Linked DNA regions of Saccharomyces cerevisiae S288C. The protein of the gene in region 3 interacts with the protein of the main gene of each other region in a biochemical or structural test. Each region holds a gene or a part of one and is shown on either strand. Other genes may lie near its edges.

The links.
Region 1: the proteins of PRE9 (region 3) and CMK1 form a complex in vitro, tested with the Saccharomyces cerevisiae proteins (2 studies listed by BioGRID, with this or other methods).
Region 2: the proteins of PRE9 (region 3) and MOT2 form a complex in vitro, tested with the Saccharomyces cerevisiae proteins (one study listed by BioGRID).

The regions. Positions count from the first base shown.
Region 1 is NC_001138.5:171,880-175,711, reverse strand, and holds CMK1 (calmodulin-dependent protein kinase CMK1), read left to right. Parts: upstream 1-1,834; coding exon 1,835-3,175; downstream 3,176-3,832. Other genes in the region: glycogen (starch) synthase GSY1, read left to right, coding at 1-1,447; IOC3 (Ioc3p), read right to left, coding at 3,427-3,832.
Region 2 is NC_001137.3:291,086-295,407, forward strand, and holds MOT2 (CCR4-NOT core ubiquitin-protein ligase subunit MOT2), read left to right. Parts: upstream 1-1,964; coding exon 1,965-3,728; downstream 3,729-4,322. Other genes in the region: RGI1 (Rgi1p), read left to right, coding at 981-1,466. UniProt on the Saccharomyces cerevisiae protein: E3 ubiquitin-protein ligase component of the CCR4-NOT core complex, which in the nucleus seems to be a general transcription factor, and in the cytoplasm the major mRNA deadenylase involved in mRNA turnover.
Region 3 is NC_001139.9:759,297-762,668, forward strand, and holds PRE9 (proteasome core particle subunit alpha 3), read left to right. Parts: upstream 1-2,095; coding exon 2,096-2,872; downstream 2,873-3,372. Other genes in the region: CCR4-NOT core subunit CAF130, read left to right, coding at 1-1,842; LSB1 (Lsb1p), read left to right, coding at 3,132-3,372. UniProt on the Saccharomyces cerevisiae protein: The proteasome degrades poly-ubiquitinated proteins in the cytoplasm and in the nucleus. It is essential for the regulated turnover of proteins and for the removal of misfolded proteins.

The DNA.
Region 1 (3,832 bases), on a different chromosome or scaffold from region 3:
ATATCATAGGTACTGCATTGAGCGCGCTGCGGCTCATACTGCCGATGTTTTTACGACTGTGTCGCAAATCACTGCATTAGAAGCGGAGCATTTGTTGAAGAGGAAACCGGATGGCATTTTGCCCAATGGTTTGAACGTTGTTAAGTTTCAAGCAGTACATGAATTTCAAAATCTGCATGCCCTGAAAAAGGACAAAATTAATGATTTCGTCAGAGGCCATTTCCATGGTTGTTTTGATTTCGATCTAGACAACACAGTTTATTTCTTTATCGCTGGTAGATATGAATACAAAAACAAAGGTGCTGACATGTTCATTGAATCATTGGCTCGTCTCAATTACAGATTGAAGGTTTCTGGATCCAAGAAGACGGTGGTAGCGTTTTTGATCATGCCTGCCAAAACCAATTCCTTCACTGTGGAGGCACTGAAAAGCCAAGCCATTGTAAAATCTTTGGAAAATACTGTTAATGAGGTCACCGCATCCATTGGGAAGAGAATTTTCGAGCATACGATGAGATACCCTCATAATGGCCTAGAATCAGAGTTGCCCACTAATTTAGATGAGCTGTTGAAGAGTTCTGAAAAGGTTTTGCTGAAGAAAAGGGTATTGGCGCTGAGAAGACCTTACGGGGAATTGCCTCCGGTAGTCACACATAACATGTGCGATGATGCTAACGATCCAATTTTAAACCAAATTAGACATGTTAGATTATTCAATGATTCGAGTGATCGTGTAAAAGTGATTTTCCATCCTGAATTCTTAAACGCCAATAACCCTATCCTTGGTTTGGATTATGACGAGTTTGTTCGCGGCTGTCACTTGGGTGTTTTTCCATCCTATTACGAACCATGGGGGTACACGCCAGCAGAATGTACCGTCATGGGTGTCCCATCTATCACAACAAACGTTTCTGGGTTCGGTGCCTACATGGAAGACTTGATTGAAACAGACCAAGCGAAAGACTATGGTATTTATATTGTAGACCGTCGTTTCAAGAGCCCTGATGAATCTGTCGAGCAATTAGCAGACTACATGGAAGAGTTTGTAAACAAGACCAGAAGACAAAGAATCAACCAAAGAAACAGAACCGAAAGACTATCAGACTTGTTAGATTGGAAGAGAATGGGGTTGGAATACGTTAAGGCTAGACAGTTGGGTCTTCGTAGGGCCTATCCAGAGCAGTTCAAGCAACTGGTGGGTGAAACAATTAGTGACGCCAATATGAATACTCTTGCCGGTGGCAAGAAATTCAAGATTGCCAGGCCTTTGAGTGTACCCGGATCCCCCAAAGTAAGGTCCAATAGTACTGTTTACATGACTCCGGGCGATTTAGGTACCCTTCAAGATGCTAATAATGCAGATGACTATTTTAATTTGAGCACGAATGGAGCCATCGACAATGACGATGATGACAACGATACGTCTGCATACTACGAGGATAATTAAAACCATCTTAACTTCTGCTAACATATCTTACTCTTTTAGCTGAGCATCAAATTAATTTTAGTATTGCACGTTCTGTTATTCTTGTATAAGTACATAGAAATAATAGCAGTAGAAAAAATAGAAGTAATTTTACCTTTACAGTACATATGTGTTAGTATAAGGAACCTTTTACGTGGGATACTTTGCTTACGAAGAAAAGGCTGAAAAAAAAAAAAAAAGAAACTCCCCCCGCGTTTAGAATGGTGCAGCCGAGCTACCTACGCAGGGGATAAAAAGAACGAAAGCCACATCGACTACAAGCCAGAGTATAAATGGTTTCAATTCTCGTAGAGAACTCACAATTATATAATATTGGAAGACACCAGAAAAAATAACGAGTCAATTACTATGGACGACAAAGTTTCAGAAAAGGAGAGCTCCCCAAAACAAACAGAGGAGGATTCTGAAGGTAAAATGGCACATGTGCAGCCTGCTTCGTACGTGAATAAAAAAAAATATGTTTTTGGGAAGACATTAGGTGCTGGTACATTTGGTGTGGTGAGACAAGCCAAAAACACTGAAACAGGGGAGGACGTGGCCGTTAAAATCCTGATCAAGAAAGCACTAAAGGGAAACAAGGTTCAGCTAGAGGCTTTATACGACGAGTTAGACATTTTACAAAGACTGCATCATCCAAATATAGTGGCATTTAAGGATTGGTTTGAATCAAAAGACAAGTTCTACATTATCACGCAATTAGCCAAAGGGGGTGAATTGTTCGATAGGATTTTGAAGAAGGGTAAGTTCACTGAGGAAGATGCAGTGAGAATTTTGGTTGAAATATTGAGCGCAGTCAAATATATGCATTCTCAGAATATTGTTCATAGGGACTTGAAACCGGAAAATTTACTGTATATAGATAAAAGTGACGAATCTCCACTGGTAGTTGCTGATTTTGGTATCGCAAAGAGATTGAAAAGTGATGAGGAACTCCTCTATAAGCCGGCAGGCTCACTGGGTTACGTGGCTCCAGAGGTACTTACTCAGGACGGTCATGGTAAACCTTGCGACATTTGGTCGATAGGTGTCATTACGTATACTTTGCTTTGCGGTTATTCGGCGTTTAGAGCCGAAAGGGTTCAAGATTTCCTTGACGAATGCACAACTGGTGAGTATCCAGTGAAGTTTCATAGGCCTTATTGGGATTCCGTTTCCAATAAAGCAAAACAATTCATCTTGAAGGCTCTTAATTTGGATCCTTCAAAGAGACCGACCGCCGCAGAACTCTTGGAAGATCCATGGATTATTTGTACCGAATTGAAGACGCACAATTTATTGCCTGGGTTAAAGGAAGGATTGGATGCTCGTCAAAAGTTCCGTAATTCTGTTGAGAGAGTCAGATTAAACATGAAGATCCAGAAATTAAGAGATCTGTATCTTGAACAGACAGAGAGTGATTCAGATTTTGACGAAGGAAGTCAAGCAAACGGTTCAGTTCCTCCATTGAAAGCAACGGATACCAGTCAACTATCCAAGAAGCTATCAGAAGAAGAACAGTCTAAGTTGAAGTCCGAGTTAACCAGCAAAGCTTTTGCACAATTAGTTAACACAGTGCTTGCCGAAAAGGAAAAATTTTTAAATATTAACAGAGTCTGTAGTTCTGATAGCGATCTTCCTGGGAGTGATATAAAGTCTTTGGATGAGGCGAAGGAGAAACCAGAGGGGAAGGATACCAAAACAGAAGAATGATAACAGTATGCCGTTTTACCACACTGGCGAATAAATCTTCAATGACTTTGTAAGCTCGAATATGCGCAAGATTTGACTTTGATATTTTGCACTTTTTCGTCCTCACTTTCTACCTTTTTTTTTTATGCCTTAGTTGAAAAGATACGCGTATCTAATTATGTACTAATAGTCTTAATTTTACATTACTTAATTAATCGAAATGCAGCCTGTAAGGAGTTTCACAATCTTCACGTTCGTTGAAAGCTAGTTGTCTAAGTGCGCTGCCTTTTAACTCTACCATCATCAAAAGAAGAATCATTGTCGTTGTCATCATAAATATCAGCTTCGTCGTCTTCTTCATCATCGACATATTCCTCGCTATCATATTCCGTATTATAGTTTACAGTCTGTCGCTGTATCCTTCTCAACTGTCTCTTGCCTGGCTTCATGTCTGCAAATTGCACTTTCATTTGTTCAAACTGACGAAGAATGAAATAGTAATCAGATAAAAATTCCTTTAATATCTGTAACTTCTTTCTCGCAGTGTTATATTTTGCGTCTTTTGGTAGCGGGTTTGTATTTATGGAGGGATTATTATCAGTGGTAGATTTCTGCTCCAATATGTGCGCTTCATTATTCAGTGCTTCTTTTTCTTTTTCATTTCCCTCCTTTTTCTCA
Region 2 (4,322 bases), on a different chromosome or scaffold from region 3:
GTAATTATCACACTCACTTTGTCATAATGTATACAATGGCCGCTTATTTGCGACTCGTCTCATATTTTTCCTGAAACTGTAGCTGTGTGTAATATTATTCATTAACTTCGATAATTCGGCTACAGAAGACAAGAGCTACATCCTTACTGGTGCGAATAAATGACATAATCTGTCAAGAGTACCGAAGTAAAAGCAACGATTGCCGAACACATCTTCCTGAAGTATCATATGCCAATACAAGGTTTCAATAGGAATTATGAAAGCGGCATTATCACCCTTAATCTGAAATATGTAATGATGACGGTGCAGTATGTTGACTACATTGTAAAGTTGCACTTTCACTCAACTCATGAAATTGATGACATTAATCCTACGTGACTTACACATATGCCATGAACGAAGAAGGTGGCACCAAAAATCCAGCGTTTCCGATATACACGCAGTCAAATGTTCAGACTAAACTTTGGTATTCTGACAACGTGTTGTCATACCTGTTACGAGCCAGAAACGTATTTCTTTTTGGGTGATACAATCTCCAGATGACTGCTTTTTTTTTTTTTACCCCAGATTCAGGGGCCGAAGGAACGGAAATGCGGTGTGGCGAGATTGCGGATGTGCTAAAAAATAATATCCTCGAGGCAACCAGCATAATGTGGACGGCTCTCGGCAATTGACTTCCATAACAAATGCATCCTGTAATCAGGGGTATTATAAGTTACTGTATGGTTAATTAAATATAGAATGAAAGGGGCAGCGTTCTTAAGGGGTATTGCTGGGTGGAAAAATACAAGTGTCTTTACTTGATTGTGTGCACATATATAAGGCAAAAGATTTCTAGCGTATATTTGAATCTTTTGTTCTTCCACGTTCAAATTTCTTTGGTCAAAACATTTCATAAAGGGACAAGTTCTGCATTGTATTCTAATAATTGCCCATAGAACATATAAATTAGGTATCGACTGTTTTCGTCTCCACTTTAAATGACAAAGAAGGATAAGAAGGAAGTAAAAGTTCAAACGGTTACCACGGAGGATGGTGAAACCGTGAAAGTTTTTGAAGACCTGCAGGGTTTTGAAACTTTCATTGCCAATGAAACTGAAGATGATGATTTCGATCATTTGCACTGTAAATTAAATTACTACCCACCATTTGTGCTACACGAGTCGCACGAGGACCCTGAAAAAATTAGTGATGCTGCAAATTCTCATTCTAAGAAGTTCGTGCGTCACCTGCACCAGCATATTGAAAAGCATCTTTTGAAAGATATTAAGCAAGCCGTTAGGAAACCTGAGCTTAAATTTCACGAAAAATCGAAGGAAGAGACATTTGATAAAATCACCTGGCATTACGGTGAGGAAACTGAATACCATGGTAGACCTTTCAAGATAGACGTTCAAGTAGTTTGCACACATGAAGATGCTATGGTATTTGTCGATTACAAAACACATCCTGTAGGCGCAAATTAAAGGTTGTGTCATAGAGAATGTGTTAGTACTGAATCCTAACCTCCCAAATTCATAAGTAGTTTTATGTACCTTTAATGATTTACGATTAGCAACTTTTTGAATTTTTTTTATTGAAATGTTGAGCCCGAAGACGTGAAACGCTATAAAGTAGTATCACTGTTACGCCGCGAAACCTGATAATGTATTGTTAAACTACTACCTGGTCGATGATTATATCGACGCTTCTAAAATGAATGCTATTACCCGAACTTCCACTTGATTGCCGTCTCTTCCCGGGTAACATTGTAAGTGTGAATATGATTTTTTTTTTTGCTTTCTCTTTTCAAAATTTCCGAAAAGCATATCAAGACGTGTACTACATACAGTAAAAGCCCTCCTAGGGTTTTCAGTAGTGGTTCGAATAGTATAGATTACTGCTTTTGTTACTCTGCAACAATCCCAAAACTTAATAAAAAGTACAAAAGACCAAATAAAAGTATCGTATATAATCCAGTCATAATGATGAATCCACACGTTCAAGAAAATTTGCAAGCAATCCACAACGCCTTAAGCAATTTTGATACGTCATTTTTATCGGAGGATGAAGAAGATTATTGCCCTCTTTGTATTGAACCAATGGATATTACTGATAAAAATTTTTTTCCTTGTCCCTGTGGTTATCAAATTTGTCAATTTTGCTACAATAATATCAGACAAAATCCAGAATTAAATGGCCGTTGCCCAGCATGTCGTCGTAAATATGATGACGAGAACGTCAGATACGTCACATTATCTCCGGAGGAGTTAAAAATGGAGAGAGCCAAGCTCGCTAGGAAGGAGAAAGAAAGAAAGCATAGAGAAAAAGAACGTAAAGAGAATGAATATACGAATAGGAAACATTTATCTGGTACCAGAGTTATCCAAAAGAATTTAGTGTACGTTGTTGGCATCAATCCTCCTGTTCCATACGAGGAAGTTGCGCCCACTCTGAAATCTGAAAAATATTTTGGCCAATATGGTAAGATAAATAAGATTGTGGTTAATAGAAAAACACCCCATTCTAACAACACAACCAGCGAGCATTATCACCATCATTCACCAGGATATGGCGTTTACATAACCTTCGGATCCAAGGACGATGCTGCAAGATGTATAGCTCAGGTAGACGGGACGTATATGGATGGCCGCCTGATCAAAGCTGCCTACGGTACTACTAAATACTGTTCTTCTTATTTAAGAGGATTGCCATGCCCAAATCCCAACTGTATGTTTTTGCATGAACCTGGTGAAGAAGCTGATTCTTTTAATAAAAGAGAACTCCACAATAAACAACAAGCGCAACAGCAAAGTGGCGGAACTGCATTCACTAGATCTGGAATACACAACAATATATCTACCAGTACCGCTGGTTCAAATACCAATTTACTAAGTGAAAATTTCACAGGCACACCTTCACCGGCGGCGATGAGGGCTCAGTTACATCATGACAGCCATACAAACGCTGGAACACCGGTATTAACACCTGCTCCGGTCCCTGCAGGGTCAAATCCTTGGGGAGTTACTCAATCAGCAACACCTGTAACCTCTATCAATCTCTCTAAAAACAGCAGCTCCATAAACTTGCCAACATTAAATGATTCTCTGGGCCATCATACTACCCCCACAACAGAGAATACCATCACAAGTACGACAACTACTACCAATACCAATGCTACAAGTCACTCCCATGGTAGCAAGAAGAAGCAATCTCTTGCTGCAGAGGAATACAAAGATCCTTATGACGCACTAGGGAATGCTGTTGACTTTTTGGATGCAAGACTACATTCTCTATCAAATTATCAGAAGCGCCCTATATCTATCAAATCCAATATTATTGACGAAGAAACTTATAAAAAGTATCCGTCTTTGTTTTCTTGGGACAAGATTGAGGCCTCAAAGAAAAGTGACAATACATTAGCCAACAAACTTGTGGAGATCCTGGCTATAAAGCCAATAGACTACACTGCTTCTGTCGTTCAATTCTTGCAGAGTGTCAATGTTGGTGTAAATGACAATATTACAATCACAGATAATACGAAAACTCCCACCCAACCAATAAGACTGCAAACCGTCTCACAGCAAATCCAACCACCATTAAACGTCAGTACCCCTCCACCGGGTATCTTTGGTCCACAACATAAGGTTCCTATTCAGCAGCAACAAATGGGTGATACAAGCTCAAGAAATTCCTCTGATTTACTAAATCAACTAATCAACGGAAGGAAAATTATCGCCGGTAATTAATCCGACTCTAAATATTTTTCTTGTTTGCATTAACCATAATTTTATCTATTTTTATTTCTCATGAATATATAATCTCTCCGTTTATAACGAAATGCAAGAAAAAAAAATCTCACCCATTTTTTTAAACCTTTGACGTGGAAAGGTATCTGGGAAAGGTATCTGGCTAATGAATAATGCCATAGCATATACCAGTATAGTCTATTTACTCGTTACAACGTATGAAAGCGTCAGCGCTGCAAGAATGACTAATTCATAGAAAATAATCATCATGATATATATCATAATGCACGGAACCTGCTTCGCTAATTTTTTCACTTAAATCACATTTTTTCAACGAAATCTCTTGCGCAGTTGGTTGGAATTCTTATCCGAATGACTCAGTCTACATCAAAAAACTGTGGCCGAATGGTGGTAATTGATGACTCTTCTATTTTTTTTTTTCATATAAAGAGCTTGCGCGCGTGTTGTTGTTCGCTATCCATTTCCATTAGGAACATTTTTGGATATTATTTTTCAGACCCGTAATATACTTAACACATATACCACTAAAGGCAAAAGAAAGAGAGATCTGAAGTGAGAAATAAGTCTGCATCA
Region 3 (3,372 bases):
AGGTCTGTAATAGCTACCGTTCTCAATGGATTAGTGAAAAATAATGATCATGATTTCAAGCACGAGTCTTTAAACACATTCATGTCGCCCTATGGAAGAAAATTGTGTCATGGTGCTTTATATGCCGATTTAAGGTCACATACTGCATCTCTACTTGCGCTTGGAGCAAGCATCGAAGATGTAACAGATTTATTTGCCGATTTACAGTCAGGTGATAGATTTGATGAGGATATTAGATATATGTTTGATTATGAATGTGAAGATTATGATGAATCTTTCTCTGAAAGCGATCATGGAGGATTGGATGAAAGCGTTGTTAACCCAACAGAAAAAATAGCATCTGGTAGTAATAATGTTTTCTTTCGGAGACGGTGCAATTGCATCTTCAATGATGATAAGTTGGTGGCAGAGGATGGTGCAAATGAAGCCTTTGGGTCAACAAATAGCGAAAACGTTGAAGGCGCAATGCATAATAATAGGAATGCGGTACATAACGCGACTACAGCCACTTCTGATCACGTCGTTACGTCACCTAACCCACTTTCCGTTAGATCAAGAAGTACTTTTGAATTTGACTATAGTGGGGAAGATTGGAGGGACGTTCCCAGAGATTTCAATATGTACTATTCGCCATCTTATTCATTCATCCATGAGCCTAAGTTAGATGTCATATTTAGTTTGACTCTACGTGGCGCAACAGAAAAGTTGAATAAGGAGGAATCCATATTGTTAGTGCGTTCAGTTGCATCGTGTGTAAGGAACGAGCAGGACCAAATGATTTTAGCAGACCTGGAGTCTAATTTTTCCGCAAGTATAAACGGCGATGTAGAAGGTGAAGGAAATACCAAAATGTCCAAGATAGATAATGAAGATCTCAGAAGAACCACGCCGGATGATATTTATGAAATATGGTCTGAAGAATCAGCATTTGAAAGGATGCTAAACGTGAATCACGACGTTGCGTGGAGATTAATGGATGAAATGTTAATGTGCACCGGTTATAGGAGAATATTGATATGGTTCCTTACGCATTTGGAGTTAAAACATTCGTTGATATATTACGTTTTTGAACTAATAATGGGGTTACGTGGAAAACCGTTTTCCGGAGAAGCCAGTGATCAAGATAAAAAGGATGATATGATATATGAGATCTTGAAGAAAAAGCAGAAGAATGAAGATGCTTCAGGACTTCCCTTTTCAAGGCAAGGACCTATCGTATTATCTGATATTGAGACTAAAATGTTACTGCAGGAGTTTTTTATGAATGCTGCTATTTTTTTGTCATCAAAAAATAACGAAGAAGAGAATGAAGACGGCGAGAAAATCTCCTTGTACTCCCTTGGTTTGGTTAGGTTGATCTGTTACATGGTGCAGACACTCATCGCGAACGACAAGTTTTTTTTTACCAAATCAGAATGCACTTTTGAGCTTCAAACTTTACTGATGACATGGATTGGCATCCTTCCTGAAGCCAAAGATTTATTCTTTAAGATCAAGACAAGGCTCGCCATGGAAGAAGAGGATAGTGCCGATACTATGCAGCATGAGGGCAGGAAGAACTCTGACATAGAGAAGAAGCTAAACGCTAAGCCAGCTTCTGAACTGAATCTGAAATTGTTAAACCTGTTTCCCTCAAAGCCTGCAAACAAAGACGATAGTTCCCCTATTAACACGTTGCGTAGTTTTATCGCTGATTACTCCTTCGACACCCAGGTGAACCCTCCAGGAAGAAGGGTGGTGTTCTACGATGGTAAGATTTTGCCATTGCCCAAAGCCGATAAGCCTATCCCACTTCATGAATATATAACACTCGCAGAGCTCGATGTTGGAGACAGTGAGTGAGCAGTGAATTGCTCATGTTTTCTCTGCATCCTCATTTAATGACAATTAGCCATGTAATAACATCTTGAGGCAGTTAAATATTCGTTACCCTGCAGGTGGCAAAAAATTTATAGAATAAAAGCATAAAAAGATGGATATCTATGTAATAAGGAAACATTGGCAGAGCGAAGAGAACAGACTGCTTTCTATAAAAAGTTTTCGATCAGTCTCTATTTTAATAATTGATTATTGGATATAGTTAGTAGTGTTAAACATGGGTTCCAGAAGATACGATTCCAGGACAACAATTTTCTCCCCTGAGGGACGTCTATATCAGGTTGAATACGCGCTAGAATCCATTTCACATGCAGGTACCGCAATTGGGATTATGGCATCTGATGGGATTGTTCTTGCAGCAGAACGCAAAGTCACAAGTACTTTACTAGAACAAGACACCTCTACCGAAAAACTTTATAAGTTAAACGATAAAATTGCGGTTGCCGTTGCTGGACTGACTGCAGATGCAGAAATTCTAATAAATACGGCTAGAATTCACGCTCAAAATTACCTTAAAACCTATAATGAAGATATACCAGTAGAAATTTTGGTGAGAAGGCTAAGTGATATAAAACAAGGTTACACGCAACATGGTGGTTTAAGACCATTTGGTGTGTCCTTTATCTACGCCGGTTATGACGATAGATACGGTTACCAATTGTATACATCTAATCCATCGGGAAACTATACAGGGTGGAAGGCTATTAGTGTTGGCGCTAACACATCAGCAGCACAAACCCTACTTCAAATGGACTACAAGGATGATATGAAAGTCGATGATGCCATTGAACTGGCTTTAAAAACGTTATCCAAAACTACCGACAGTAGCGCGCTGACTTATGACAGGTTGGAATTTGCTACTATCAGAAAGGGTGCTAATGACGGAGAAGTGTATCAGAAGATTTTCAAGCCTCAAGAGATAAAGGATATATTGGTAAAGACTGGTATTACCAAGAAGGATGAAGACGAAGAAGCTGATGAAGATATGAAATAAGGTTGGAAAGTATTGTTTGACTTCATGCTTATATAAATATGTACGCATAGAAACATATCTCTAAAATTAAAAGTGAAAGAAAAAAATCGCTAAGATTCCCCTTTCGGGGGAAGGCTGAAGAAACTTTTTTTTGCGCAAATTTCAAGATCGGAATCGCTCGAGAGGCAAATATAAAAAAGGGCCTGCTCGTTTGGCCTACTTGTTGTTGGATTCTAACTCCAATCTAATTTTGGCAGCACTTCAAAAATAAACAAAAGCGATGTCTGCGTCACTAGTGAATCGATCATTGAAAAATATAAGGAATGAATTAGAATTTTTGAAGGAATCAAACGTCATATCAGGCGACATTTTCGAATTAATCAATAGCAAGTTACCTGAGAAATGGGATGGAAACCAAAGATCGCCCCAAAATGCAGATACAGAAGAGTACGTTGAAGCTTTATATGATTTTGAAGCTCAACAAGATGGAGATTTGTCATTGAAAACAGGTGATAAAATAC